Linked DNA regions of Pelodiscus sinensis. The protein of the gene in region 1 interacts with the protein of each later gene in a pairwise test. Links are inferred from orthologs where the notes say so. Each region holds a gene or a part of one and is shown on either strand. Other genes may lie near its edges. The genes, in order: calcium/calmodulin-dependent protein kinase type II subunit beta, CCM2L, ACOT7 and RAP2B.

Evidence for each region.
Region 2: the proteins of calcium/calmodulin-dependent protein kinase type II subunit beta (region 1) and CCM2L interact in binary tests that used the Homo sapiens proteins (3 or more experiments, as listed by UniProt). The two-hybrid records come from large-scale screens. The link is inferred for Pelodiscus sinensis from reciprocal best matches to the Homo sapiens genes CAMK2B and CCM2L.
Region 3: the proteins of calcium/calmodulin-dependent protein kinase type II subunit beta (region 1) and ACOT7 interact in binary tests that used the Homo sapiens proteins (3 or more experiments, as listed by UniProt). The two-hybrid records come from large-scale screens. The link is inferred for Pelodiscus sinensis from reciprocal best matches to the Homo sapiens genes CAMK2B and ACOT7.
Region 4: the proteins of calcium/calmodulin-dependent protein kinase type II subunit beta (region 1) and RAP2B interact in binary tests that used the Homo sapiens proteins (3 or more experiments, as listed by UniProt). The two-hybrid records come from large-scale screens. The link is inferred for Pelodiscus sinensis from reciprocal best matches to the Homo sapiens genes CAMK2B and RAP2B.

Annotation. Positions count from the first base shown.
Region 1 is NC_134738.1:4,672,334-4,679,583, forward strand, and holds the start of calcium/calmodulin-dependent protein kinase type II subunit beta, read right to left. Parts: upstream 3,014-7,250; 5' UTR 2,854-3,013; coding exon 2,789-2,853; intron 1-2,788. UniProt on the Homo sapiens protein: Calcium/calmodulin-dependent protein kinase that functions autonomously after Ca(2+)/calmodulin-binding and autophosphorylation, and is involved in dendritic spine and synapse formation, neuronal plasticity and regulation of sarcoplasmic reticulum Ca(2+) transport in skeletal muscle.
Region 2 is NC_134728.1:1,517,891-1,525,868, forward strand, and holds the start of CCM2L (cerebral cavernous malformations 2 protein-like), read right to left. Parts: upstream 3,009-7,978; 5' UTR 2,912-3,008; coding exon 2,873-2,911; intron 1,788-2,872; coding exon 1,620-1,787; intron 256-1,619; coding exon 172-255; intron 1-171.
Region 3 is NC_134733.1:24,105,448-24,113,352, forward strand, and holds the start of ACOT7 (cytosolic acyl coenzyme A thioester hydrolase), read right to left. Parts: upstream 3,016-7,905; 5' UTR 2,959-3,015; coding exon 2,858-2,958; intron 1-2,857. UniProt on the Homo sapiens protein: Catalyzes the hydrolysis of acyl-CoAs into free fatty acids and coenzyme A (CoASH), regulating their respective intracellular levels.
Region 4 is NC_134720.1:28,159,893-28,167,074, reverse strand, and holds the start of RAP2B (ras-related protein Rap-2b), read right to left. Parts: upstream 3,010-7,182; 5' UTR 2,421-3,009; coding exon 1,869-2,420; 3' UTR 1-1,868. UniProt on the Homo sapiens protein: Small GTP-binding protein which cycles between a GDP-bound inactive and a GTP-bound active form. Involved in EGFR and CHRM3 signaling pathways through stimulation of PLCE1.

The DNA.
Region 1 (7,250 bases):
CTGGTTCTGCTGCACCCATGCTGAGCCTGTCTGTCCTCACCATACCTGGCCTTGCGCCTGCCCATTGACGTGATGGGGCACTCAGCTGGCAGCGCCGCACCCCCTCTCCATGGGCACCTCCCGGGCATTGCCACAGACCTTCTCACACCTCGGTTTCTGGGGGGCAGTGTGAGCCGTCGCCACAAGGGCCCAAGAGGCCAGCTGGGTGCAGCTGCCCCAGCCCCCTCCATGCCAGAAAGGCAGTGTGGCCTAGTGCCTAGAGCAACTCAGCTGGGACTCCACGGAGCTGGGGACTGGTCCTGCCACCAGCCTCCTGGGTCTGTCATTTCCCTGCTCCTGGCCTCAGTTTCCCCATCTGTGAAGCGGGTGGCGAGCGCAGCGAATGGCCGCCTCTTGCCGTGTGCCTGGCTCAGAGCCGCTGGTCCCGTGAGCGCCCCCGGCCAGCCCAGCTTCTGCTCTGCACCACCCTGGCAGTGCCCGTTCCCACCTCCACAGAGCAGGGCTGCAGGCGGACAGGGCCCATCCCAGGAGCCAAGCCCCTGGCCTGGACCAAGCAGAGGACCCAGCAGCCTGGCGGCTTCCAGCCCCTCCCTCCTGCCCAGCGCCTGGTTCCTGGAAGTCACCCCCGTCTATTCAGCGATTTCCACTCGGCTCCGCAGCCGGCGAGACAGCGGGGGAGGGGCCATGGGGATTTACTGGGTGAGCTGCCTCGGGGCAGGGGCCTGGGGGCTACCCAACAGCCCAGGCCCCTGGCTCCCTCCGTGCCACAGGCCTTCCTGCAGGAGCAGCTCCGCCCGTGGCCCAGGAAAGGGCTCAAAGCCCAGTGCACCGGGCGGCCAGGGAGCAGGCTCCCGGGGAGACACCACCCCAGGGGGCGGGACATAGGCACCTCCCCAAGGAAGTCCTGCTCCACTGACCCCAGGGAACCCTGAGCTGAGCCATCCCCCAGCAGCCTGGGCCCAGCCCCTCGCCCCCCCCCCCCAGGAGCCTGGCAGCTACTGCTGATCTATTCCCAGGAGGCAGCCCCCACCCACGGCTTCGACCTCACGACTGGCCACGCGGGGCCAAAGTGGGAGTTTGCGGCAGTACTTCTGGGAACCTGGCGTGCCTCAGTTTCCCCATACGTTGGATGGCTACGGGGGGCGGTCGTTTGCTCTCAGGGCAGCCTAAGGGGCATGGAGGTGTCTCCCTCCCCTCCTGGGCCAGTTCGGGGGCTGGCTGAAACCCCGAGGCTCGTCACGTTCCCTGCCCCCGGGCGGGGCAGCCCAGTGGATCCCTGCTGGGGGGGGCCCGCGGGGCAGGGACCAGCCCGAGCTCCGGGGGGAGGTGGCGCCCCTGGAAACCGACACGGCCTGGCGTGGGCGGGTCGGCTCTGCCCTGAGCCGCATGGACGAGCCTTTCTCCGGGCCACGCGCGGACTCCGGGGGAGTGGAACCCGCCAGCCGCGCGCAGCGAGACCCCCGGGACCCGACACACGCAGCCCCCGGGCCAGCCCTTCCCCAGCCAGCCCGGGCCTCCGAGAGCGGGGAAACCCAGCGGCCGGGCTGCAGCGGGGCGGGAACCCCCGGGAGGGGTCACGTCCCCCCCCCCACGCGCAGGTCGCGCCGTGGCCCGGCCCGGCCCCGAGCCAAGAGGCCTCGCCCCGCAGCCCAAGCGGCAGAAGCAGGGAAGGGGCCGCGAGCCGGTGCCCGGGGAAGCCGGCAGGCGGGGGGGGGGGGGGGGGGGGCTGCCGGAGCCGCAGTTTAGCCCCCCCCCCCCGGTTGCTCGGGATTGGCTGTTTTCGGGGGCGCCCCGCATCCGCGGCTCAGCTGGAGACCCCGGAGGCCCCGCGTCCGGGCCAGCGCCGAGCGCCCCCGCTCCCAGACCCAGGCCGCCCGAAGGGACCCCCCGAAAGACGCGTCGCTTCCGGCAGCCGGGGGGCGGGGGGGACATGGAAGCAGCCGCCGAGGGGAGGGGAGGGGCGGGGGGAGCATCCCCGGAGCTGCGCCCCGACGAGCCGGGCTCCCCCGCGCACGAGAGCCGAGGACGCGGGCCGAGCGCACAGGCGGGGCAGCCCAGCCGGGCAGTAGCAACCTGTAGGCGGGGGGGGGGGAGCGCTGCCAGCCTGGGGCAGGGTGCCAGGGTGAGCGGAGCCTCCCCCGGCCCGGGGCATCACCAAGAGCCCCCCAGCCAAAAATCAGCGGGGGGGGGGGGGGCGCTTCCAAATGCAACTGAGGAGCGGGGCGGGGGGGTGGCGGTTCCCGGGGCTGCGCCGAGCCGGGCAGAAAAACCACCGCAGTGGGGGAAGGGGGAGCCCGGCCGGAGCCGCTGCCTAAAAATACCGGCGGCTGCAAGAGCCTATAAATACGCGGCGAGCCCGGGGCGGGGGATCTCGGGTTTCTGGCACAAGGACCCGCTGGAGGGCTGGTGCCATTCTCCAGATGGTTCCCATTCCTCCCGCAACGTGCGTCACGGCTGCGAGCCCAGGCGGGCAAGCGAGCCCGGGCCCCTGCCCCCCGGTCTGCCGCGCAGCCCGGCACATAGCAAGGGGCAGGCTGGGGGGGGGGGCAGCCAGAGCAGCGGTCCGGGCCAGGGGAACCCCCGGCGGGGGGCACCCGCCCATCGTCCAGCCGCCCCCGTGGGGCGCCCCCTCCGCGCCCGGGAAGCCGCCCCGTGCCCCGCACCCGGGGGCAGCCTCCGGCTCCTCCCACCAAGCCCGCAAGGGAGGGTGACCCCGGCCCCGCAGGGCGCAGCCCCCCGGCCCGCGCGCCCCGGCCCCGTGCGCCCTGGCGCTGCCGCGGCTCCTTACTTGCCAATTTCCTCGTACAGCTGGTACTCGTCGGTGAAGCGGGTGCAGGTCACGGTGGTTGCCATCGCGGCTGCCGCTTCGCTCCGCACTGAGCTGGGCTCCGGCTCCGCCTGGCAGCGGGGGAGGGAGGGGCTGGCAGGGGCGGGGGCAGGAGCCACCCAGCCCGCTGCGCTCCGAGGCGCTCTGCGAGCGGCTCCGGCTCCCGGCGACCCCCCCCGCCCCGCACACACGCGCCCCGCCGGGGGAAGGGCACCAGCCCCCCGCCCCGCACCCCGCGGGGGGGACCCCGCAGCCAAGGGAGGGCCACTGCCCCCAGCGCCGCCCTGCACCCGGGCCATGGGGTGGTGCCAGCCCCACATCCTTGGAGGCAAGGAACTGGCCATGCGAAGAGCCCCCCAGGCCCGGAGCACCCCCCCCCCGAGGGTCCCGCCGCCCCCTACGTGCCAGCCCCAGAGCCCCGCTCCAAGATGACAGCTCCCTCCCCCCCTTGGCGTTTGGCACTTGGCCAGGGAGGGGGCAGGTTGGGAGGAGCTGGTGAATGGGCTGGGTTTTGCCTGACCCGTCTGTTCCTTATTGTGGCCAGCCAGGCAGAAATGACAGGGCCCGCCCCAGGCGGGGGCAGGGGTCTGCCAAGGGGCCAGGACCTTTGCTAAGGAGGTGGCACCGTGGACACAGCCCCTCCTGGCCTCCCCCCACCCCCTCTGCCATGCCAGGCCCTCGCCCCGTCCAGAGCCACCGGGCTGGGCACGGAAGGGCCAGCAATGCTCAGTACAGAGGGGTGGGCGCCCATCACGCCGCACCCCCAGGTGCCACCCAGGCCCTGCCGGAGGGGGGCTCACCGGGTCACGGCGCATGGCCTGGCAATGGGGCACCAGCAAGGGAGACAAGGGCGGCCCGGGGACGGGCTCCCCAGGGCGGCGAACTGCCCCTCAACACCCGCCCCCAGCGCCCAGCCGCCCCGCCTCTGGGCCACGGGCAAGGTGCATGTCCGGCCTCCAGCCAAAAGGCACCGCAAGAGGCATATGTAAATGAGACAACGCGCCCCAAATAAGCCACGCCCCCTGCCACATCCCTCTCCTCCCCCAGGAGAGCTGGAGAGCAACCCCCCCAGAGCGCCCAGCTCCGCCCAGCCCAGCCGTTCCAGAGCTCGGGCCAGGGGTTGCACCCGCCTAGGCCGGAAAGGGGCCGACGCGCCCTCTGTGCCCCACTGAGCGGGCGAGAGCCACGGCTGCAGTGCGAGGCCCATAGGCAACTGCACTTGAGTTTCAGTGGAAGCTGCCTCACTCTCACTGGCATCTCAGGGCGCCTTGCCAACGGGGCAGCGGCTTTGTGCCCCTCCTGTGGGTGGGCAAACCGAGGCCCGGAGCTGGTGGGGCGGGGAGTTGCCCGCTGTCACCCAGTAACCGTGGCGCAGGGGTGGCAATGGCGGGGGAGGGGGAGAGGAGTGCGGACATCCCCAAGCGTGGAGGCGGATTCCTGCCATCGCTCCTGCGGCAGCCGGGGGAGCCAGGCTGCCTTGTGGGCTAGGAGATGTCTGTGCCCGCGACCCAGGGAGTGAGGCCAAGCCGCACTGACGAGCCCCACTCAGACCCAGTGCCGGTGCCACGGGCCACCCAGCGCCCCCAGCTCCAGCTCCAGCAAGGCGCCCGGGCCCAGCACAACCCTGTGCCACGCCAGCCCGCTCCGGAGAGCCCTGGTGCTGCTGCCACCTCGCTGGAGAGCAGGGGCGTCTGAGAGCAGTGCTGCGTAAGGGGCGCCCTGCCAGCGGGGGGCAGGAGACGGAGCCAGGGCACAATGTGCCCAGTGCAACGGGGGAGAGGACCCAGGACAGGGAGCGCCAGGGGGCTGGGGCCAGTTGCAATGGAGCTCTAGGAGGGGTCATGGCTGGGCTGGGTGTAGCAGCTTCTTCATCTCTAGCTCGGCTCTCTGGGCTTGCTCCAACCCGGGGTTCACAACCCAGCCTGGTGAGCCTAAGGCGCCTCCCTCTGGGCTAACAAAGAGGCAGACAGGTCCCTGCCTTCAGCCCCACCTGTGCTCCTTCGCCCCCTTTGCACCAGGGCCCTGAACCTCCCCTTGCAGGGGGTCAGGAAGGGAGCCCCCTGGTAAACACCAAGGATCCACTTCCGCAGACAGAGCCACTGGCCTGCCTGCCCCACCCCAGGCAGAGCAGATGTCAGCCCAAGCTGGGAGCTCCACACGCCCCCGTCTCCCCTCCCTTCTCCTGGGAGCGGCGCTTTCGCCCAGCAGCTGTGCTCAGCCACAGCCAGTCAGCTCCCTCACCCCTTTGGGGCCAGCCCCCAGTGCGAGACCAGCGTCAGAGCCAGGAGGGTCTTTGGGGGGCTCCTGGGTGCTGAGGGGCCACGTCTGCCAGCTCTTCTCCCCAGCGCAGGGAGACACTCGCCTTGTTCCACATGCAAGGGGAGTCTCATGCAGCCACCTGGCGCTGGAAGGGGCTGAGACGGGGCCCAGGCCCACAGGAAGGGAGCTTTACAGCGACTGCAGGAGGGGCGCCCGAAAGGCTCCGAGGCCACGTTCCCGGTTTGCCACCCGGCAGCCTCGCCACTCAGCGCCAGGGGCCGTGTCCCGGGGGGCGTCTCGGGGGAGGGGGGAACGCCTAAAGATCAGGGCCCGGCTGCCTTCTCTCCGGGAGCTTGTCCGCCTTCCGCCGGGGTCGGACAGGAGAGAGGCCATTGGAGTGTTCCAGCCACACGATTCCCACGGACCGGCGTGTTCTCCCTCCCAGCACCCGCCTTGCCTAGCGGACGAATCGGAAACGCCAATTTCTTCCCTCCCCTTTTCGTCGCCAGCGCTGCCCCCGGAACGCAGGGAAGCCCCTGGCGCTGGAAAGCGGGAAGCGGAGGCACAGGGAAGCTAACTGACCATTTGGGACGGAGCAGGGCCTGGCCGCTGGCCTCTGTGTGCTCTGACCCTGGGCCGGTCTGCACTACTCTGGGCAGGTGCTGCACCACGGAGCCTGCTCCTGCCTGGCCCCTGTGATGGCTATTAAGTGGCTGACACAGAGGACACCTGTGCCCTGCCGTGCGGGGCGCTGGGGCCTTCGAGTGGATTTAACGCTCCGGGCTGGCGTGCAGGGCGGGCTCAGGCTCTCTCACGCTCACGCCCGCCGCCAGGGATCAGCAGCCGGGCTGCCTGCTGTCCGGCCGCTCCCCTCCGCAGCGGCAGGAGCCTGGAGCGCTCTCCAGCACTGCCCTGGCCTCACTGCGCCTGTGACTTAACGCCAAAGGCCTGGCGCCAGCACGCGGCCACGCAGGGCTCCCTGTGGCGGGATCCTGCCTCAGCCTCCCCAGGCAAGTCGCTTCACTGGGTTCGGCGATGCGACCGTCCCTTGCGGACAAGGCCTACATGGGCCTCTGTCAGGACCAGCCACCAGAGGGCAGGATGCAGCTGTTGGCTAGGCAGCAGGACCAGGCTGGGAAGCAGGCTCTGGGAGGGGAGTGGGGTCTAGTGGTTAGACCGACCGGCAGTGCCCCGTTCACTGACTGGGCAGGTCAGTGTGGCTGAAACTCAGGTGTGGCGTCAGGACCCCGGCGCGCCCTCGGGCAGCATCTCGCCGATGTTCTCGGTGAATGGGGGACGGGTGCAGAGCAGGAGCCCTTGCTCCGGAGCAGGCACAGAAACAAGCAGCAGCGTGAGGCAGGAGCTCCCAACTCCCGGCCTCTGCCAGCCGCTGTGACTTCTGACCCTGTTCAGAGCCGGCCCAGGGACCAGAGGGCCAGGGGCTCCCCCGTGCGGCTGGGAAACGTGCAGGGAGAGCTGGGGGTTATGAACGCGCCTCGGCAGCTCTCCTTGCGTTTGCACCGATGTGGGTCAGCACAGGCACTCGGGGTCCCCAGGACCATGCAGAAGGGTGGGTTGGCCGGGCTTTGGTCTAACCCGCCTATGGCTGCCCTATGCGAAGAGGCTGTAAGACACTGCTCAGAGCCTCTGAGGATCGGGGCTACAGGGGCCTCCAAGCCAACCCAGGGCCAGGTCACCACCCAAAGCAGAGGCGCATGTGGGCAGAGGGGTCACGCTTCAGATGCCATGAAAGAAGGGCCAAAGCTCAAGCAATTTTTAAAACGTCATGACTGACACAGCAAGGCCAGAGGTGCCAGGCTCTGAGCCGCCAGGCCCGGAGGTGCCAGGGCTCAGCCGGGCACAAATGAAGCACCGGCGAGGGGGCTGACCGGCTCTGACGCTGGCAGGGTTTGTGGGTCTGGGAAGGCGAGGCAAGAAAAGACCAGGAAGCGGAGGGAGAAAGCAGCAGGCAAGCGCCGGTCTGGCTCTGCAGCACAGGTGTGTGCAGACGTCGGGGCTCCGTGGCCAGGCGCTCTAACTGCAAGATGGCCTCTGTTTGTGGGGAGTCCTGGCCAGGCCGGCCACACTGGGCACTGGTCCACCCCCAGAGCTTGGGTCAGCACTGCGGTCCCATGAGTCGCAGCCTGGGGAGGAAGTCAGACCA
Region 2 (7,978 bases), on another chromosome or scaffold:
CTGGGAGGGCGGCCCCCCCCGCCCCTCCCTTCCCTCCTCATGAAGCCCTTCGCCAGCCCTCTCCACACCAAAGCCGCCTGAGCCAGGCTGCCCGTCCGCTCCCTGCAGCCTGGGGCAGTGGCGCCGGCCCTCGGAGCACAGGGGCTGAGTGGAGGCGGCTCCCTCCCTTACCCGGGCCGTGTCCAGCAGCTGCAGCAGCTCATCCCGGCTGGAGGGGTTCAAGGAGGACGTCACCCAGGTCAGGTGGCCTAAGAACTGAAGAGAGACGAGCCTGAGGCGCCAGGGGCCCGACACCAGGCGCCGTCGACGCAGCATCCGGGACAAGACGGGGCGGCTCCCCTCCCCACCCTGGAAGGCAGCCGGTGGCAGAGTCGCTGTCCCAGTACGCCCCCCACCCCCGCTGGCTTCTGCCAGATCCCCCTCCTGCGCTTTGCCAAGTCTGGCTCCCACATTGTCCTTCTGGGCCTAACCCAGCCCCCCCATCTGGGGTCTCCCCCTTCCTCAGGGGTCTGGCAAACAGAGGCGAGGGACACCATCCCTGCCCATCCTGGCTAATCACCATTGATGGACCGAACCTCCATGAATTTATCTAGTTCTTTTTTGAACCCTGTTCAAGTCCTGGTCTTCACAACATCCTCTGGCAAGGAGTTCCACAGGTTGACAGTGCGCGTGTGAAGAAAAACTTCCTTTTGTTCGTTTTAAACCTGATACCTATTCATTTCATTTGGTGATCCCTCGTTCTTGTCACGGGGTCTGCTCTTCCCCTCCCCACCTCTCTGCAGGGGCTTTTTTCCGCCGGGACTCCCTGCTCTCTTCCCAGAGAGGGTCTGCCGAGTCTTTCCCTAGTGGGATCCCCTCTCTGCCCCCCATCCCCAACTGCTTCCCCAGCTGGGTCTCCTGCCTGCTCACCCCGCAGGGGCAGCTAGAGCGCGTACAGGGCCCCTCAAGCCCCCATTGCGGGTCCGTGTGGGGTGCACTGCCCAGCATGGGGCACATTCCTATACCCCTGCAGGACACAAGGGGAGGGGTCTCCTCTCTGAGTCCCGCCCCGGGTCTCCGAGTGAAGGGGGAACCCGTGGCCGCAACATGTGCTTCCCCCTCAAACAAGCACAGGGGGTGGGCGCTGATCCTGGCCGAGGGAGGGGGTGTCCAGGGGAGCCCATGAGACGAGGGGGCGGCCGCTGCAGGAGGGTTCCCGGCTCCTGGGGCCCAGCCTGCTCTTGCCAAAGGGCCCTGCCGGGCACGTGGCTCTGAAGCTGAAACTTTTGGTCACTTCACAGCTCAAATAGCTCCCCTCAGCGCAGCCTCCCCCGGGCGTTCGCGGGCCCGGTGACCTGGGAACTGGGCATTTGCCAAGCCCCGGAGAGGCCAGGGACCGAGGGAAGAGCCAGGGGCCAGGTGTGTTTGTGGCAGACACGGCTCAGCCCAGTTTGGCCTGTCTCCTCACTCCACATCACCGGGGGCAATTCCCACACACCTGGGGCAGGCCAGGCACCCCGTGCCCCAGCCAGAGGTGAGCCCCCACCCTGGAGCATGGCAACAGGGACCCCTGGCAGGCCTCTGGGCCCCGCTCTGAGCGTCGGGGACGGCCCCTGAGCGGCTGGGCTGCCCCTGTGTACCTTCACCTCCTTCTCCACGTAGTCATGCAGCAGGATCTGGGGGTCTATGAGGTAGTCGGGGGGGTAGAGAGGGACCGAATGCAGAGGCCGCCGGTAGACGCTGCTCCTGATCGCCGGCCTGCGAGCCGCCTTGGGGAAAACGAGCCGCTTGATGGGCGACACAAACCCCTGAGAACAGAGGACGGGTGAGAAGCCGGCACCTCGTCCCCAGCCCCAGAGGGGCTGGCGTTGGCCGTGTACAAACATGACTCTCAGGCGCTGGGTTCGACAGCAAACCCCAATGAGAGGAAGCCGCCCCCCCACCCCCGGGGGTGATCCCATGTACAGTAAAGGGGCCATTGGAAATGCTGAGGGGGGATCTTTCCCAAGAGACAGAGCGAGCTCCCTCAGGAGTCGGCCCCGATGGCGCCATGGAAACAAATCCAGTGAACCCAGGCCCTGGGCCCAAGGCGCCTGCCCAGCGTAGAACAGGTGGGGCAGCGGGTTTGGAGGGAGCGGCTTGGGGGTGCCCTTCCTGTGGGTGGGCTGGGGCTGAACAGCCCCCCAGGTCCAGCCCCCGGGGAGGGAGGAAATGGCAGGGCTGCTCTGAAGGGAGGACTCAAGGATGGAGCTGGGTGCTTCCTGGGCCAAGCTCAGAAGGCTGGATGGCTGCCCGCTGCCTCGCGGAAAAACCCGGCCAAGCCTCGGCCCCAGGTCAGTGGCAGGGGCAAAGGGGAGTAAGAGACCCAAGGGGCAGGCTGCGTATTCCCCTCTGCACAGAGCCCCTGAAGGGAAAGCCCTTAGCTGGCCAGAGAGCCTCATCTGCACCATCTTATCCCATGGGCCGGGCAGGGCAGAGCAGGGCAGAGCAATTCGCCATCCACGAGAGACAGCTCAGCCCCCAGGGTCCTGCATGCAGCTCCCAGCTCCCCAGCCACACCAGTGGCAGCACGGCTGGCCATGGGCTTCTTGGATCCCGGTGGCAGGAGCTCGGCTGGCCACGGGGCTCCCCATATCCCGGTGGCAGGAGCTTGGCTGGCCACGGGGCTCCCTGGATCCAGGTGGCAGGAGCACGGCGGCCACGGGGCTCCCCATACCCCAGTGGCAGGAGCTCGGTTGGCCATGGGGCTCCCCATATCCCGGTAGCAGCAGCACGGCTGGCCACAGGGCTCCCCATATCCCAGTGGCAGCAGCACGGCTGGCCACAGGGCTCCCCTTACCCCAGTGGCTGCCATTCTCCCCTGTACGGCCAGCTCTGTAAAATTCCCACGTACCTGCTCCTCCACGCTGCCTAGGGGGGGCACGTGGGCCATTGTTCCCCCCCGGGCAAGACTCGGTGCCCTGCACTGTGCCCCGCCAGGGCCCACCGCCCCGCAGAGCCATCCTGTGAGAAATGCCAGCTCGGCGGGTACGTACCTTCTTCCCCTTCTTGGCCTCGTACTCCATGTCCTGTCCCTGCTCCGCTCCTGTCACGGACCAGGCAGCTCTTTCCGCTCCGGGCGAGTCCTTTGTTTTTTTCCTGTGTCGGAAACTCCACCAGCCCCGGCTCCGACGTGACCTTGTGGAGTTCCTGCCCCTCCAGGGCGGGAACAGGGCTCGGAGAGCTGGGCGCTGGCCGACAGACGGGGCGCAGGGGCTGCTGGGCCTGCCCTGCCAAAACCAGCTTGCTCACCCCCCCGCCCGGGGCAACACTCGCCCCTAAGGGGCTCGCACCTGCCCCAGCCCCTAGCCCACCGTGTCTCTGGGCGCTGCTGCCGTCTGCCTGTCTGTCCTGCTCACACACGCTGGCTCCATCACACACAGATGCCGGCCCTCGCTCGGCCCCGGGAAGGGGGCTGTTGGCCTCCTTGCGCGGTCGGGCCACCGAATTTTAATAACCCAACTGGGAGAGCGCGGTGGTTCTGCCAGCGCCGTCTTCGAAGGCTCCCCTGGGTCTCCTGCCCGAGCAAACCGGAGCCAAGCACTGCCACTGTCGGGCAAGGCGGGACCCGGAGCAGAGCCGAGAGCCGGGGAGCTGAAATGCTGCCCATGGTGGGGGCTGCACCAAGACCCTGGGGGATTCAGAAACTACCAGCAGGGCTCCAAATCCGCACCCACAAGGGACCCCAGCTGGTGAGCAGGGAACGCTGATGGGAGGCCCAACCCGCCACCCCTGAACTGCGGGGAGCTCGGAGCGGGCTTGGCCCACGCCGTGGAGTGCGGGAGAGAGACACCTGGCCAGAAGGGATGGTCCCCGCCTCCCCCCTGCCCCGGCCCCTGCCCCAGCAGCTGCAGACATGTCCTCTTCCCTCGCCAGCCTGTGGGCAGGAAGGGGACAGACCTTCAGGCGCTGCAAGAGCTGGGGCATCGCTGGCGTCAGGCGCCTCACGAGGCTGCTACGTTCCGTGATTTCTCCTGCACACGGGCCCCCGGGTGAAGGCCACTCGATGCCAGCCAGGGACTTTCCCCAGAGTCGGCACCGCTCTCCCGGGGCCAGTCCCTTCCCTGGGGCGGGCCCGTTGCTGTCCGGGCCGACCCTGCCCCTCGGCCTGTGCTAACGCACGCCCTGCGTCCCCACAGCCTGGCCAGCCCCTGGGCGGCTCCATTTCCTGCGAGGTGCCCTCCGGCAGTGGAAAGTCGGTCCCCCGCCATGTGCCATGTGCGGCGCATCCTTCCCAAGCCCAGCCTGGGCGGCTGTGTCCTGCAGTTCCCCCCACTGGGAATCACCCAGGACCACCCAGTGAGGCTACATAGCCAGCCCCTCAAGTCCTGGTCTTCACAACATCCTCTGGCAAGGAGTTCCACAGGTTGACTGTGCCTTGTGTGAAGAAAAACTTCCTTGGGTTGGTTTTAAACCTGCTACCTATTCATATCATTTAGTGACCCCCTAGTTCTTATGAGAACAAGTAACTGATTTTTCCTTCTTCACTTTCTCCATGCATGTCTTGATCTTATAGACCTCTATCCTGTCCCCCCTTAGTCTCCTCTTTTGCAAGCTGAAAAGCCCCAGACTGTTTAATCTCTCTTCATATGATATAGCACCTGCTCCAAACCCCTCATCATGTTTGTTGCCCTTTTCTGAACCTTTCCCAATGCCAAGAGATCTTTTTTGAGATAGAGCGACCACATCTGCACGCAGGTGTGCCGGTATGTCTGGGACCCCCCGATCCTGCACCCCATCTGCTACAAGATGGGACTCCGGCAGCCAGTAGAATAGAATACAGCACAGCGTAGATGTGATGTGGTTACAGGAGTCAGGGCCAGGCAGCCTCAGACCCCTTGGGGTAGGGGTGCCTAGGCCCCTGGACTCCCAGCGCTTGGCTTAGTCTCTTCTCTCCATGTTTGCCCCAGCCAAACTGACTCTTCTCCAAACCTGCCCCTTCCTTTGTTCAGCCCTGTGACGTAGTGTCCCTACCTTGCTGGTTGCTGTGCTTGGGCTGTGGACTGTAGGTGACCCCTACCGGCCTGTGTCTGTGAGCACGGCCCAGCGGGGGCGCCTTGAGGGCCCCCATGACAGTGACTGGACCAGTTCTAGGAAGGGATGGAACAAAGGAAGTGAGTGTTGGGGGAAGGGTCAGTTTCTGGCTGGAACCATGAAGGGGACAGACTAAGGAGGGGGCTGGGATCTAGGGGCCCAAGGACCCATCTCAAGGGGTCTGCGGCATCCTGGCCCTGACTCCTGTAGCCACGTCACGTCTGTGCTGTACCCTGGAGAAGCAATAACCCCTCGGTTCGGCCAAGTCTGTTCTTGCTGCTACGGTGATGCAGGATCAGGGGGACCCGACGCGCCATCACAAGCCCCGTCCCTCGACAGGTATGAACCGGTTGGGTCACTGACTACGTGCCCTGAGGTTCCTCAGGCGACCCCCGACTGGGCCGTGCTCACAGACACAGGCCAGTAGGGGTCACCCACAGCCCAAGCCTCGCGACCGGCGATGTCCCGACACTGTCTCACGGCAGGATTCAAGATGGGGGCGGACGCTGGATTCAGACAGAGGCAATGGGCGGGTCTCTGTCTTATTCTTGCTCCCTTTTTGAATGATTCCCAGCATTCTGTTGGCTTTTTTGCCTGCTGCTGCACATCGAGGGGATGTTTTCAGAAGCACGTGTCCTGCCCTCTCCCAGCTCTGGGGGAGGGGGATCACACCAACATGCTCGTATGCTGCTCCCTCCCTGCAGCGTGTCTCCCGCCTCACTGACATAGTGGCTCCCCTTGGGAAGGGCAGCAGAGCCATTATCTCCATTTTGCCACTGGGGAAACTGAGGCAGCTTCCCGAAGTTAGGGGCAGAGCTGGAAACAGAACCCAGGAAGTCCTGGACTCCTGGCTCCCCGTCCTCTGGCCATGGGCCACCCCCAGCTCAGCCACAAACAAGTGAGGCAAAGTCTCAGCTCTGACTGCCACCAGCTGTGACTACTCTGCCCCATGGGAGACTGGCGGCGCGTCGGGTACCCCCCGATCCTGCACCCTGTCTGCAGCAAGATGAGACTGCGCTAGCCAGTAGAACAGAGAAGGGTTTATTGCTTCTCCAGGACACAGCACAGTGTAGACGTGGTGTGGACATAAGGAGTCAGGGGCTGGCAGCCCTAGACCCCGTGGGGAGGGGTCCACAGGCCCCTGAACCCCCCGCACTCCGCTTAGTCTCTTCTCTTCATGACTGCCCCTTCTCCTGGCCACACTCTTCCTTTGTTCAGACCCCTTCCCTGGGCAGGTAAGAACGGGTTGGGCCATGGACTACGTGACCTGAGGGTCCTCAGGGCGACCCCCGCTGGGCAGTGCTTACAGACGCAGGCCAGTAGGGGTCACCCACAGCCCAAGCATAGTGACCAGCGAATGCCCGAATGGACAGCACCCCCCACTACATCACAGAGACCAGCTCCTAGCTATGGCGGGCAGTAACCTGGCCGCTGCTCTACCACAAGGCAGCTGCGGGTATGGCTAGAAGGTCCCTTGGTAGCTGGTTCTCTCCAGCCCCATGAAGCCTGCTGCCTCACCCCCCCCCCCCCCCACCTCCCCCAGGCTGGGACACGCCTCGTGGCGCACGAGGGCAGAGCAAGGAGAGGCCTGCAGGCAGCGTGTATTGAAAGGAATTTAATTATCTCATGTCGCAGCAAAATTAAAAATATACAAAAAGTTTGTGGAATACAAAAAAGTCTTAGTACAGAACCTCGGTCGCGTTCCCCCCGCCCCGGCCCAGCCTGCCTCCCGCGGAAGGGAAGGAAGGAGAAGGTGGCACACGCAGTATTTACAGTACACGACGGAAGTGCTCCCGGCTGCCGGACGGGAGGGCGAGGGGAGACACCAACAGCTCCGCGCAAGGTGCTGGGGGCGAGCGGCCCTGCCCCGGCACCCGTCTCTCGTGCAGTAGGGAGAACCCAGCCCTAGGGCTGAGCCCCCCGTCCTTACCGCAGGGGGCAGGCGCTGAACCTGGCCCTGGGCTCACTTTTTTGTCCCTTTGGCTGGACCAAAATCATGGTTTGGGATGTTTTTGAGGGGAGCCGGGTCAAAATCCGCCTCTGGCTCCTGATTTCAAGATGGCCCCCGCCTCGCCCCCCCCGGGAAGGGCCCGTTCCGGCGTTGCTATGGTCAGGGTGGCGTGTGGGGCGCAGCGGTGCATGTGCCCGGCACCTTCTGAGGGGAACGTAACACCCAGCGGCTGTGGGCAGCTTTCCCGCTCCCTTGGGGCCTTTTTTCAGCCCTATTATGAGTCCCATGACGATAGCAGGGAATGGGCTTGTTTTTGGGGGCCGGACTACCAAGTCCCCCCCGACACTAGCCAGGGACTGCCTGCCTGAGAGACAGTGCGGCTGGGCCGGGCCCTGTTCTCCCTGGCAACCGTCCGGCAGGAGTGAGGCGCTCGAGGCCCCTCCGGAGGGATCGTGTGGGCTGAGCCTCATGGGCTCAGGGATTCCCCTCCTGAGTGCCCTTCACCAGCAAGACTCCCGGGTCCGCCTCCCCATCCGCCCCTCGCCCACCCCGCGGCTGCAGGGGTCCAGCTGCCGAGCTGCTGGGAGGTTATTGCAGCGGCTCGGGCGCATCGGCCCTCTCCCCAGAGCCGGGAGAGGGCGTGGAGACCGTGGCTAGAGTGCATAGAAAACTGGCCCTGTTATCCCTTTCCCAGCCCTTGCTCCGAGACGGCTCCTGCCGAGGAACCCGCCCATGGCTCGGTGCACAGCGAAACCCGCCCGGCAGAGCCCCCAGCCCCGCCCTGGGCCACGGCGCCAGCGACCACCTCCGGCTCGCTGCCAGCAGCCCGTCCCAGAGGACTGTGTCCTTTGTCCTAGCCACCTGCCAGCTCGGTGGGACGAGGCCCCAGCCCACAGATTGGGGGATTCCGCACCACGCGCCAGCCACCTCGGGCGAGACCTACCCGCCGGCAGGGAGCGTGGCCAAGCCGTGCAG
Region 3 (7,905 bases), on another chromosome or scaffold:
GGCACGGACAAGTCCAAGAGTTTAAAGGAAGCGCAAGAGGCTTGCAAGTCTTGGATCCCAGGGCAGGCCAAGAGCAGGGCAGCAGGGTGCACAGCCGAGTCTGCTCGTTACTGGCCATTGCAAAAATTCAGGTCAAACCAAATTCAAATCTTTGGGGAATGTTGTGCGTGTCAGAAAATCTGGGTCCAGCAAAGCCAGCAGCTGAGCTGACATCTCCTCTTTTGGGTCTTGGAACGGACTTGCTTCCCAGAGGAGGAGGGGTGGGGTCTCAGCGGGCGGGGCACTCACCTGGGACGTGAAGACCCAGGTCCAAAGCACCAGCCCCTCATTAGCCCAACGACTAGTCCAGTTTTTAGGTTAAAAGACAGGAAACAAAGGGTAGGAATAAATGGTAAATGTTCAGATTGGAGAGGGGTAACTAGTGGTGTCCCCCAAGGGTCAGTCCTGGGACCAGTCCTGTTCAACTTATTCATAAATGATCTGGGGAAAGGGGTAAGCAGTGAGGTAGTAAAGTTTGCGGATGATACCAAACTGTTTAGGAAAGTCAAGACAGAAGCAGACTGTGAGGGACTCCAAGAAGATCTCACCAAACTGAGTGATTGGGCAACAAAATGGCAAATGAAATGTAATGTGGATAAGTGTAAAGTAATGCACATCGGGAAAAATAACCCCAACTATACGTACAGTATGATGGGGGCTAATTTGGCTACGACAAATCAGGAAAGAGATCTTGGAGTTATCGTGGACAGTTCTCTGAAAACTTCCACACAGTGTGCAGCGGCGGTCAAAAAGGCAAATAGGATGCTAGGAATTATTAGGAAAGGGATAGAAAATAAGACCCAGAACATCTTACTGCCCCTGTATAAAACTATGGTACGCCCACATCTTGAATACTGTGTACAGATGTGGTCTCCTCGCCTCAAAAAAGGTATTTTGGCCTTGGAAAGGGTTCAGAAAAGGGCAACTAAAATGATTAGCGGTTTGGAACAGGTCCCATATGAGGAGAGGTTAAAGCGACTGGGACTTTTCAGTTTAGAAAAGAGGAGACTGAGGGGGGATATGATAGAGGTCTATAAAATCATGAGTGGTGTGGAGAGGGCTGATAAAGAAAAGTTATTTATTAGTTCCCTAAATAGAAGAACTAGAGGACACCAAACGAAATTAATGGGGAGCAGGTTTAAAACTAATAAAAGAAAGTTCTTCTTCACACAGCATGTTGTCAACCTGTGGAACTCCTTGCCAGAGGAGGCTGTGAAGGCTAGGACTATAATACAGTTTAAAGAGAAGCTGGATAAATTCATGGAGGTTAGGTCCATAAAAGGCTATTAGCCAGGGGGTAGGAATGGTGTCCTTGGCCTCTGTTTGTCAGAGGCTGGAGAGAGATGGCAGGAGACAAATCGCTTGATCATTGTCTTCGGTCCACCCTCTCTGGGGCACCTGGTGCTGGCCACTGTCGGCAGACAGGATACTGGGCTAGATGGACCTTTGGTCTGATCCAGTCCGGCCGTTCTTATGTTTTATATGCGCACCTCCCCACCCCCGGGAATGTCCAGTACAGCCTGGTGGGCGTGTCTGCACCCCAATCCCTTTTGCGAGGAGTGTTCTAACCGGGGGCAGGGCCCTACTCCGGTGTCCCTCTAAGCTGCGCGCCTGCGCACTGACAATTTTAGGTCCGCTCACGGCCTTCAAGAGCCACCACCACTCACCGCTCCCCTTCCCACGGGAACAGACGGCGGGTGCAGCGGCAGCCAGTGGCCTGACGGGTTCCTGGCGGCGGGTGGCTGCCCTTTTGCTCCGCCTGGAGCCGGGGGTGTGAGGTGAGGTTGTTACAGGGAGGCTGCCCCACCGGGAATGGGCCTCGTGTGGCTGCCGCTTCACTCCAAATGGAGCCGGGGCAGCTCGGGGCCACAGTAGCATCAACAGCACTGTGGGCGGCCTCTGCTCTGGTCCTGGCACGCGGTCCCACCCCGGGAGCAGCTGGGGCCAGGGCTGCGGGGGCTTTGGGGCCGTGGTGCTATTTTTAGTACTGCAGTCCCGGCCCCAGGCTCCAGCCCCCGCAAACTGCCCCGGAGGAGAGAGGCAGGGCAGGTGGGCAGAGGGAGGGGATGGGGAGTGTAGCTGCAGATGAGCAGAGTGGGGCTAGGGGAGGAGTGGGCACGGGGGAAGAGAAGGGCTGTTGCAGGGGTCAAGGAGGATGGGGCGGGGGTCCCCGAAGGGCTGAGGGGAGCGAGAAGGGCCCGAGGCAGGACAGCAGAGGAGGGTGGGGGGCAGCAGGGGCGAGGGGAAGGGAGGGGAGGAGACATGGCAGCAGAGGGAAAAGGGAGAGGTTTATAAGCTCTTATTAATAACTTGTGGCGCGCACCCGAACAAGCACCCACAGACTCAATACTGGGCACAAAACTAAGCTAGCCCCACTGATGGGCGGGTAATCCTAGCGGAACACTGCCCTGCCCCCGGGCTCACGGCTGGGATAAGGCACCACCGCCTCCTGCCCTCGGGCTGTAGTGGGCATGGCAGCCAACCCCTTGCGAATCAACCCCCATCACACCCTTCAGCCAAACCATTGGGGAAAGTGTCAAACCCACAAATGTTTCCGGGTCACAAAACCTGCTGTATTGGGGGCGCAGGCCAGCTCTGGTGAGACATGGAGCCCCCCCGCCCCACACACACCCGCTACTGCCACACGGGCTAGAGAGGCTGCTGCAGACAGACAGCTTCCTCCTCCATGCAGCCAGCCCGGCCCCAGCTGCGTGCACTACTTTCTACCCTCCTTCCCTGGGAGACGCCCGCTGTGGCCTGACATGAGCTGCCCGTTACGCGGCAGAATTCGGACACACGAGAAGCGCCGCACACCTACCGGACAAGCTCGCAGGCCATGCTGGCGGACGCCCCGGAGCCGGCGAATGTGCGTGCTGCAGCCGGAGCAGGCACAGGGCTGCACTCATTCACGGTTTGCATCACACGGCTGCTGCTGCTCCAACTCAGCCACACGCCAACTTACGAGTTGAGCAGCTTCCTGTGCTGTCCCATCCAACACAGGAAGATGGGCCCTCAGCCAATCCGCATGACTCACTTAAAACTAGCTGTCCTAGGAATCATCCTGCCCCACAGTTACACAAGGAGTCGCTGCCCAAAGCTGGGCGCTCCCCAGAGCTCTCGGCTGCACTGACTCCCCGCAGCCGGGCCCAGCACCGACCCCCGCTGACCCCTGCACGCCCAGGAAACGCAAACGGGGCCACCGCACCTGGCCCCAGTCCAAGCCCTCTGCCCTGGCCCGTGGGACCCTCATCTCTTCGAGGGTTGGAAGGGTTCCACAAGTTCAGGCCCTGGCTGCGTGGGGAGCTACCTGTGCCTGGAAGCAGCAAATGCCCAGCCTCCACGACACGCTCACCCCTCCTCACCCTGCCCAGCCTGGTGCAGAGCTCCTGCCACTCCCATCAAGGCAGATGCTCGGTGCTCACGGCGTCAGACCCTTGCAAGACAGAGGAGCGAGGAGGAAAGAACAGGGTTCCTTTCACTCGCTCGCTGTCCCCTCGCTGAGGGTCAGTCCCTCGGCCACCAGTGAACGTCCCTACACTCGCCCTCTGGATCCCTGTGACCGCTTGGGAGGGACGTCCGGAGGGGCATGGAAGTACGAGACGGGCTTTTCGCAGAGGCTCATTTCCCTTGGCACCCGACCGACTGACCAGTCAACGTTTGTTAGCGCTAAGGTCGTGCCTAGCTGGCAAAGGCAGCGGAGCTAGAGCCAGCGAAGGCCGACAGGAAGCCCTTAACACTTCCTCCTGCCTGTCAATTCTAGCTGGAGGACAGCACGCCACGCCACACTACGCCTTCGCGGGCAAGCCGAACCCCAGCCCCACTGCTCCCGGGCGTGAGTCACACCCGAGGCTACGTCTGCACTAGGAGCCCCGAGGGGCACAGCAGCTCTGCTGCTTATGCCCTCCACCCATGCCCGGGGTTTTCCTGCTGCTGGAAGGCAGCCAGCCCTGGGGAGGCTGCAGCAAGGCTGGGAGGAGACTTCCACAGCAGGGGTCAGGCGCACCTTGCCATGCGTACGTGCGTGCTACGAGCATTCAACCGCAAGCCTGCGCCGACACTGACCCGCTGCTAAAAGCCGGCACGTGCACGGTCCACGGCATGCACGCTGGCAACACTCCCCCTGGCAGGAAAACGCTCCTGCCAACAAAGCGGCAGCCACACCTGCACTTGCGTGGCAGAGCTCCGGCCTTCACAGGCTGAGGGCGGGCTCACGTACCCGTGAACGACAAGAGGCCAAACGCAAGCCACGAGGCCTGAGCCTGTGTTCCGTGGGGGTATGTCTACACTACCACCCTAGTTCGAGCTAGGGTGACAGACCGGTCAGTTTAACGTCTGTCCCCGGGAAGATAATGGAGCAGGTAATTAAGGAAATCATATGCAAACACTTGGAAGGTAATAAAGTGATAGGGAATAGCCAGCATGGGTTTGTGAAGAACAAGTCATACCAAACTAATCTGATAGCTTTCTTTGATAGGATAACGAGCCTTGTGGATAAGGGAGAAGCGGTGGATGTCATATACCTAGACTTTAGTAAGGCATTTGATACGGTCTCGCATGATATTCTTATTGATAAACTAGGCAAATATAACTTAGATCGGGCCACGATAAGGTGGGTGCATAATTGGATGGATAACCGTAGTCAGAGAGTTGTTGTTAACGGTGCTAAATCCTGCTGGAAAGGGATAACAAGTGGAGTTCCGCAAGGGTCTGTTTTGGGACCCGTACTGTTCAATATCTTCATCAATGATGTAGATATTGGAATAGAGAGTACGCTTATTAAGTTTGCAGATGATACCAAACTGGGTGGGGTTGCAACTTCTTTGGAGGATAGGGACATAATTCAAAATGACCTTAGCAAGTTAGAGAAATGGTCAGAGGTAAACAGGATGAGGTTTAATAGAGAAATGCAAAGTGCTCCACTTAGGAAGGAACAATCAGTTCCATACATACAAGATGGGAAGCGACTGTCTAGGAAGGAGCATGGCGGAAAGGGATCTAGGGGTCATAGTGGACCACAAGTTGAATATGAGTCAACAGTGTGATGCTGTTGCAAAAAAAGCAAATATGATTCTAGGTTGTATCAACAGGTGTGTTGTAAGCAAAACTCGTGAAGTCATTCTGCCGCTCTACTCTGCACTAGTTAGGCCTCAGCTGGAGTGCTGTGTCCAGTTCTGGGCGCCACATTTCAAGAAAGATGTGGAGAAATTGGAAAGGGTACAGAGAAAAGCGACAAGATAGATTAAAGGTTTAGAGAACATGACCTATGAAGTCAGGCTTCATGAACTGGGCTTGTTTAGTTTGGAAAAAAGAAGATTAAGGGGGGACATGATAGCGGTTTTCAAATATCTAAAAGGGTGTGTGACGTAGTGGGGGTACCTGGCTGGTTTCTATGCTGCTGGCTCTGGGGTAACCCCACTGGCTGCCGTGGGTACCACGACCCAGCAAAACAGGATGAGTCACTATGCAAATGAGTATGGCCAGCCACCCCCCATAGAGAGGAACAAAGGAAGGGGGAATGCTGCCCTGGCTGGGGGGCAGGGCTGGAAGAGGGTTAGTGAGTTGCTGTCTGAGAGCCTGGAGGAGAGCCTAGGGAAAGGGGCTGGAGTTTAGGGGCCCAGTCTCCCCCATCTCAAGGGGGCCTGAGGCATCCTAGCCCAGCTCTGTGATCAGATGACATCTGTGCTGTGCTGTATCGTGGAGAGGCAATAAACTTCCTCTACTCCACCGGCTGGTGCAGTCTGTTTGTGCCATTTCGGGGTGCAGGAGACGGGGGACCCCCAACGCGCCGTCACAGGGTGTCACAAGGAGGAAGGAGAAAATTTGTTCCTCTTGGTTTCTGAGGACAGGACAAGGAGTAATGGGCTTAAAGTGCAGCAAGGGAAGTTTAGATTGGACATTAGGAAAAAATTCCTAACTGTCAGGGTGGTCAAATATTGGAATAAATTGCCAAGGGGGGTGGTGGAATCTCCCTCTCTGGAGATATTTAAGAACAGGTTAGATAGACATCTGTCAGGGATGGTGTAGACGGAGCTTGGTCCTGCCTTGAGGGCGGGGGGCTGGACTCGATGACCTCTCGAGGTCCCTTCCAGTCCTATTATTCTATGATCCTATGCAGTCATACGAACTTGCAAATGAAGCCCGGGATTTGAATTTCCCGGGCTTCATTTGCATGTTGCCAGGCGCCGCCATTTTTAAATGTCCTCTAGTGCGGACTCCGTGCCCGCGGCTACACGCAGCACGAACTAGCTAGTTCGGAATAGGCTTCCTGGCGGCGCCTGGCAACATGCAAATCAAATTCAAATCGCGGGCTTCATTTGCAAGTTCGTATGACTACATTAACCACCCTAGTTCAAACTAGGGTGATAGTGTAGACATACCCTGGGGGGCTGTCCAGCTGACCTAAGCCCCAGCAGAAATGCCCCCGCGGACAAGGGGTTTCTCCAGCATCTCAGCGCATGCACCTGCCCTCCAGTCCTTCTCCACATGGAATGAGCCAGATGCCAGGGAACGCTGCGTCATGGGCAGCTGGATCCCCTTAGGGAGTCTGGCCTAGGCCCTGCACCACATCCCGGCTTTAACCAAAGAGCTCAAGACCTTCCTAGCGCCGCCCGAGACTCGCCAGTCTGCTGGGGCCGGCTAAGTTGAGAAAGTCACCGGATCGCACTGGGCTTTGCCTGTGTCGAACTGTGCCTCACGCAGCCCACAGCCAGCTCTTCTGCTGTGAGGCTTGTGCAGACTGGCTGCCCTGGACACAGGCAGACTTAGGCTGGAGGTCAGAAGGACGGAGCAGAGCAGTACACCTGTTTGGAATGTATTCAAGAGACTCCATTTCACTCCCAAGTCTAGCCACACCCCTCAGGAAATTACCCCCTAATCTCACTGGTTAGCACCCCCTCTCCGCCCCGCATCCTTAGAGCAGGCCAGGACGGTGACCCTACTGCTAAACGCAATGGGGAAAACAAAGCCTCCACAATCCCACCTCCTCGGGGAGAGGCCAGCTGCTCGGCTGGTAAAACACCGCGCTCAGCCGGCTGCACGAACTCCGAGGGCAGCTGCCTGCACCTCTCGCTCTTCAGCCCAGCAGTTTCAATCCCGCTCCTCAGCCACTTCGTAGCCACCAAGAAAGCTGTACACCCTGTACAAGCCGCCAGCCAGTCTCCGCTTGCCACCGTCCAACTTCAGCTGCCATTTGATAGCCACACACAAATGTACAGTCCCATTTCACATGCACCCAGTCACAAGACCAGACCTCACTGGCCTGGATGTCGCTGGCTATGTTAAAGCCAGAGACGGACGCCTCCGCATCCTCTCCTCCACGCCTCCGCCAGGCATCCACGAAGGGAGCTCTCATCCCACCTGAGCTAGCAGGAGCCACGTCAAACAGTACCTGGCCCCTCATCTCCCACTCACCGTCTGGGCTCCACGATACCATGCAGAAGTCGCACTCCTCTCTGAAGGGTACATACAGAGAGCCACACCCGCAGCATTCTCGCAGGAGACCAGTGACTATTTCAGTCCAAGAAACACACGCACAGAAGTCCTGCAGAATTCTGTGGCTCAGCCGAGCCTCTACCTGCCTACGAGTTACCACAAGACTGCGTGCAGAGCACTCCAAGCTCACCGGGCCGGCCTCGTATTCAGAGGTGAATATATCTGGCTCTCATCCACGATCTTGAGAATACAAAGCGCCCGGGCTGGAGGGATTCTTCAGAAGCTAGACGACAGAACTCAAATCAGCAACTACAAATATTGGACATTTATGGGGAGGGAGGGAAGAGAGAGATTTCGCCATTTATCTCCCTGGCAGCGAGGGGCAGAGTAGGCATCCAGCCAAATGCTTTAAAGTTAGAATTATCTGCAAGGATT
Region 4 (7,182 bases), on another chromosome or scaffold:
CCTTCTTCATATTTAAAAAAAAAAAATCAATGAGGCGAGGGAAAAAAATAGACAAGCCCATTTTTCCCCCTCTTTTGCAAGTTGCATTTAAAATAATAAAGAGTCAATCTTAATGCAGAATTTTCAAAGCTGTATCTTTTCAGTAAAATCAGTAAGGTCTTTAAGTTTATGAATAGAATAGCTGACCTTCAACACTTACGCTCAAATAAACCATGTTAATTCTTAAAGTTACAAAACAGGTTCCAATACTGCAAGCTGTTCTGCATAGAGCCCAAATGACTTCAGCAAGCATTTAGATAAGTGTAGAATACAGCATCTCATGGCACCAGTGCCTAAATATAATTATTCGACTGTTTGCAACATTACCAACAGATACAATAGAAACATTCCCTAGCTTCATGATTTTAGGTAACCATCCCCCATTATTAATATCCTGTTCTTTTGGTTAAACAAATATCACGATTAAAAAAAGCATACTTCTGCCATGATCGCATATTAAAGTTAGTTTTCCTTACAATACATTTAAAAAAAAAACCACAGTTTTGCTGTTTTGTTTTTTTTAAAAACCCAAAACATTTGTATTAAAAGTCTTAAAATGGGTAGACATTAAACGCATGTCTGGAATTAAAGTTACAGTTGTTAGAATGTTCTTGATACATCACAACATTAAGATTTCTCTCTTGGCTGGCTGGAGGTACATCCTACATCAGAGAACCAAAACAAAAGAAATTGTCCCAAAAAACTAAATGCCTGTAAATTTGAATTAAATGCAGTCCAAATTTGGAAGATGTGGAAATGACATTTAAAAGGCTCACATGGAAATAAGAAATAAATTCCACTAAACAATAGGCCTTTTTGTCCTGGCTTGTTCAGTATGATTACTCAAAGGAAGCTGTTAAGTAGTTTCTGGAGTAGTAGATAATGGGATTCTGTGGAGCTTTCACAGGTTGGCACCGGCTGGAACAGCTGAGTTTTGAAGGCACTCTACAGACACAGGGTTGCTGTTGGCCCTGTATCACATTTAGGAAGTCTTTGTACTTTAGAGAGCTAATCAAAATCAGTTATTGCCAACCCAAAAATAAGGAAAACAAACCACCACCACCACCACAAACCTCCCTCCCCCCTGAATAAAAGAAAACACAACTAAAAAAATATTGTGCAGATTTGTAACATTTTCACAGCTGATAAAAAAAAATACTACCGCTCTCCCCCAAAGTCCCATCAGATACAGCAGGTAAACAAAATATAAAGTTTCACAAATGATCAGCAGACACGTTCTGGCACCCCACACTGTATTGGCATCAGTGTTTTCAAGTCCCAGTTCAAATGTGCAATACTTCAGATTGGATACGCTGTAACAATAATCCAACTTTGCATAGAAATCCTCAGAATCAATATCATAGTCACAGGGTGCATTCAAGGTTGGCTAAAGAAGAGAGAGAACCAATCTTATTTCCTAAACGTCCTCGGAAAGATTTCTTCCCCCCTCTGCAATGGTTCTTCGTTTACTGTTCCCCTCAGTTCCTTAGGTGTAATTTAACTCTTCCAGTTAGAAAACAATTGCTAACAAAACTCCCCTTTCTCCAGGACGAAACTTTTCTTACTGGTGTCAGATGCCAATACAGCAATCTGTACTTACGGGAAATATGCAACAATCAAAATAGATGAAATGTACATGCTGAAAAAGCCACGTTTCCAACAATACACCCACCCCATGACACTGATCACTGCCGCAGCAGCAGCTGCTGCTGCTGCCGCCTGGAATCCTTGTGTATGCAAAGTTGTTTCCAATCTTTGTTTCGAACGATCACATTGCTGCTGCTTTTTGTTGTAAACCTTTGCGAACGACACGGCCCCCCCAAGCCCTTTCAGAGGATCACGCAGGACGAGCAGCACTGATCGTCCCCGTTGGGCTGGGAAGCGTAGTTCATCTGCCTGACAATCTCTGCAAACAGTTCGTCCACTGAAGCTTTGTTTTTGGCTGAAGTTTCCATGAAGGGGCAGCTCCACTCCTCAGCCAGAGCTTTGCCTTCCCCATACGACACCTCCCTCTCGCCCTCCAAGTCCACCTTGTTGCCCACCAGGATCATGGGCACCTTTTCGTACCTCTTCACCCGGATGATCTGATCCCGCATAGGCTTGATGTCCTGGAAGCTCTGCTGGTTGACCAGGCTGTAGACCAGGATGAACCCTTGCCCGTTCTTGATATAGAGGTCCCGCATGGAGGCGAACTGCTCAGTGCCGGCGGTGTCCAGGATCTCCAGCACCGAGGGGGAGGAATCCACCTCGATCTCCTTGCGGTAGAAATCTTCGATGGTGGGGTCATACTTCTCGATGAAGGAGCCCGTCACGAACTGCACGGTGAGGGCGGATTTGCCCACCCCGCCCGAGCCCAGCACCACCACTTTGTATTCTCGCATGGCTCCGCTCCGCACACCCAGCTCCTTCCTCTCTGGGTCTCGTCTCTCCCTCCCACCTCCAGGCAGCGGGGAAGGAGGGAGGGGAGAGAAGCCGCCCCGCCGCGGCTCTCACTGGAGCGGAGTGAGCATGCAGCCGGCAGGCGGCAGGGGGAGGGGGGAGGAGACGGGAGGGGAGAGGCGGCAGCAGCGGCGAGCGCCCGGGCAGCGCCAGCCCCCTTGGCGCGGCAAGGGCAGCGCCCAGCCTCCCGGGCCAGGCAGCCGCGGCCGAGCCCCGGCGCAACGCGAGGGCAGCGCGAGCCCCTCTGCCAGGCAGGCGCCGTGCCCGAGCTCAGCAGCCCTGGCAGGCGGGGAGGCGGCAGCTGCCGGCGGGGCGGGGGAGGAGCGCGCGAGGGCTCATCGCCCCCCGGCAGCCAGCGCGTGGTGCGGCAGTCCCGCGGTGCCGCCTCGCGCCGCCACGGGCCATCCCTTCCCCGCGGCCTCGCTCACAGCCCGCCCGGACCCATTGGCTCGCGCTAAACGCCACCCTCTCCCTCCCCCGCCCTTGGTTTCGGGAGGGGGAGGGGGACCACACAGGCACACGCGCCCCCGCCCGCCCGCGGGATTGGCCGCCGCGAGGAGCCCGTCAGGCCGCGCTGCCTCATTGACTCAGAGGTTTGAGCCCGTCCGCCATTGGGTGGCCAGAGGGAGGCGGATGATTGGCCGGCCGGCCGCTGTCTGTCACTCGGCCCGCCTGTCAGCGACTTTTGGCGGATACTTTGCAAAGGGCAGGAGCTGCGGCGGGATAAACTCCCCTTAGCTCCCGTTTAGCCCCAGGGCTGGATAAGGCAGGAGACGGGAGGGGTGCTAGGGATGCTAGAACGGTGTAACGGAACAGTGCGGTCACCGCACCACATCTTACGGTTACATCGCTACTCCATAGTCCTAGGGGATGGCCACAGAGCTTCCAGCCCCACTCCTGGGGAGTCTCCTGCCATCCTGTGCTGCTGCCTCTCTATCAGAGTTAACAGCATATGACTTTAAAAACCAGCGCCCCTTGCAGACAGGCTGCCTGCCGCCCTGCACTGCTGCCTCTGATAGGGAGGCAGCAATGCAGGGTGGCAGCAGCCTCTGTCCATAGGGGGCCACGCTACTCTTTACAGCATGGTCACACTCATTGAGACCCTGCAATCCTCCCTCTCCAGCTGGCCCTGTGCATCAAAATGGAAACATTTCACAGAAAGCTGCCATAGAGGTCCTGGTCTTCACTCTCTTACCTAGCAGTCTAAATTTGCCCCCCGAGGACCTCTCGCCTTCCTTTCCATATGTATTTGGGTACCTGCCTAAAACACAGCTCCCTATGCACACCAGCTCATCTCTTCCCCCCACCTGTGCTGCTACCTCTGATACAGATCATAATAATTCTATCATAGCATTATAGAACTGGAAAGAACCATAAGAAGTAATTAAGCCTAGTCTCTTTATCAGATAGTCACCCCGGGGGACTATCGAGTAGATGTGTAACCTGTGCTCATGGCAGGACAAGCACATCTAGACTAGGGATGTTAAATTGCCGGTAATTGACTAATCAAATAGTGGATGCATTTTGCATAGACTATTCAACTACTTGGTAGGTTGTCTCCACCTTTGAAGTGTAGAAACAGCTCTAGGGTTATTGCTACACATTAAAAGCAAAAGCGCCATGTGGAGTCCAGGATCGAGTCCCCAGCTGACCCCAGGCTCCTTGTGGCACTGCCACTTTGAAATGCTGATGCAGGAGCCCAGAATCAGGCACTCTATGGCGCTGAAAAGTGGCAGCACCATGCGGAGCCTAGGTTCAGCTGGGGACCTGGCATTGGGGACGCGAAGCCTGGGATCAGCTGGGGACGTGGCACTGCCTCTTTGAAACGCCGCAAAGAGTCTGACTCTGGGCTCCCACAGCGGCGTTTCAAAGTGGCAGTGCTGCATGGAGCCCAGGTTCTGGTCCCAGGCTCCACGTGGGGCTGCTGCTTTGAAGGACCTCTTGCTTTCCCTCCTTTGCTGCCTCTATCAGAAAGACCAGTTGACAAGTTTGTTGCATTTGCTTATCGAATAGTTGACTAGTCTTTCACATCCCTAATCTAGACCATCCCTAATAGGTGTTTGTTTAACATGCTCTTAGAAATTTCCAATAATGGAGTTCCCACAACCTTCCAGGCAATTTATTCCAGTGTTTAACCACCCTGACAAGTTTTTCCTAGTGTCCATTCTAAACCTCCCTTGCTGCAGTTTAAGCCCACTGCTTCTTGTCCTATCAGAGGTTAATACAAATATTTTTCTCCCTCCTCCTTGTAACAACCTTTTAGATACTTGTAAGCTATTATCATGTCCCCTGTCAGTCTTCTCTTTTCCAGACTAAACAATCCCCGTTATTTCAATCTTCCCTCATAGGTCATGTTTTTTAGATCTTTAATAATGTTTTGTTGCTCTTCTCTGGACCTTCTCCAATTTGTCCATATCTTTCCTGAAATGTGGCACCTAAAACTGGAGTAGTCTAGTTAAGGCCTAATCAGCCCAGAGTAGAGTGGAAGAATTACTTATTGTGTCTTGCTTGCAACACTCCTGGTTAATAAATCCCAGAATGATGGTTGCTTCCTCCCCCCCCCCCCCCCGTAACATCACACTGTTGACTCATATTTAGCTGATGGTCCACTATAACCCCTAGATTTCTTTCTGCTGAATTCCTTCTTAGACAGTCATTTCCCATTTTGTATGTGTGCAACTGATTATTCCTTGATAACTTGAGTACTTTGTATTTGTCCTAATTGAATTTCATTATATTTATTTCAGACCATATTCAGAATGTTTGGCTCCTATTATTGTCAAAAGGTCCTTAGCCATCAAGATGGCCACTGTTTCCTTGTAGTCTGCATGTGGAAGTGATACTATCCTTAATACAGTTGGCTGCCACCTCCCACTGTTTTCGATTAAATTAAAGCCAGGCCCACAGAGAAAATAGCTGCCACTCTGTGGTTCAGGGAATTGGCTTGGACTCAGAGACTGAGAGGAGGAGCAGGAGCCTGTGAAAGCTGGATGGGGTAAGTGGATCAGAGTACTGGGGAGGGAGACAGGAGTGAGGCTGAGGCATGCGTGGAGGACAGTTGGGGGCAGGAGATGAAGGAAATAGAATGACAGCTTTCTCAGCATGGTGGTAGTGATAGGTAAGAAGAGCTCTCTTTTGCCGGTAGTAGGGATGTAATAATACATATAAAATATTAACCATGCACTAGGGATGTTAAATTGCGGTTACCAAGCTAATCATATAGTTGATACAATTTGTCTGCCGCAAACAGGGTCTCCTTCAGAGTGGAATGCGGAGCAGCCTCTGCCCACGACAGGCCCAGGCTTGCTGTGAACAGAAGCTGCTCTGGGAGATGCAGAGCAGCTACTGTCCATGGGGAGCTCAGACCGCCACCCATGGACACAGGCTACTTCACTCAGATTCCCCTGCTTCTCCCCACCCCCACTGCTGCCTCTGATAGAAGAAGCAGTGTGTGTGTATTGGGGTGAGGAGGACAGGCAGCATTGCAGAGTTGGTGCTGGGGGGAAACGACCTTTAAGCTGGCTCCTCCCAGCGCTAGGGATGTGAATGACTTATCGGATGCAAATGCTTATCAGAGAGTCAACATGCTAGTTGACTAGTCGCTCTCCCCCATTGCTGCCTCTATCAGAAAGATGCAGCGGGTAGGGGTGGAGGGAAAGAGAAGGGGGTTCTTCAAAGTGGCAGTGGGACTCCCCAGCTGACCCCAGGCTCCATGCAGTGCTGCCACTTTGAAATGCCGCATGGAGCCTGGGGTCAGCTGGGGTTAATCGTCTAGTCAACTATTCATTAGCATCCCTACGGGTTTATTGTTCAGTTTGTGACACTGGGCAATTTCTTGAAGTACACATACATCTCTTGAAAATAAACTCAGAACACTGGCAAGTACAATAGTGATAGAAATGTAGCCGTGTTAGTCTGGTGTAGCTGAAACAAAAAACAGGACTATGTAGCACTTTAAAGACTAACAAGATGGTTTATTAGGTGATGAGCTTTTGTGGGCCAGACCCACTTCCTCAGATCAAATAGTGGAAGAAAATTGGCACAACCATATATACCAAAGGATACAATCAAAAAAAATGAACACATATGAAAAGACAAATCAAATTTCAGAACAGAAGGGGGATGAGAGGGGGAGGTAAATGTCTGTGAGCTGATTGAACCTGACCCTGAGCCTCCATGACCTCTACTAGATCTGACCCTATCAGAGATACAATATACACATGTAAAATAGGATAAGAAACTTCATTCAGAATGTCTCTTCCTTTTGTTAGTGAATATCCATTTAAGTCCTATTTTTAACTATAAAGTGAGCTCTCAAGATGTACGTGAAACAGCCCAATCTGAGATCACAAGCTCTTTCCCATGTACTAAGAAGTTTCACTCATAATTTAATTTTGGAGCTATAAGTAATACTAAATGTCATATTGTGACATTCAGGTTCTGTGAGTTGTAAAGTAATATTAATAGTGATAAATCTTACATTTATAGAACATCTTTCATCCAAAAACACCTCAAGAGTATATTAACGTATTGCTTCACTTTCTACTGTCTGAAAAGCAGCCTGCTTTTGGGGCTGATATAATTGGTTTATATTACAATTCATCTAAGATGTCTTAGTGAACCACATGATTCATAATCTTATAAAAAAGATTGGATGGCCTGAGAAAATGCAGAATTGATGAGGGAACAAATGTAAAGTTATTA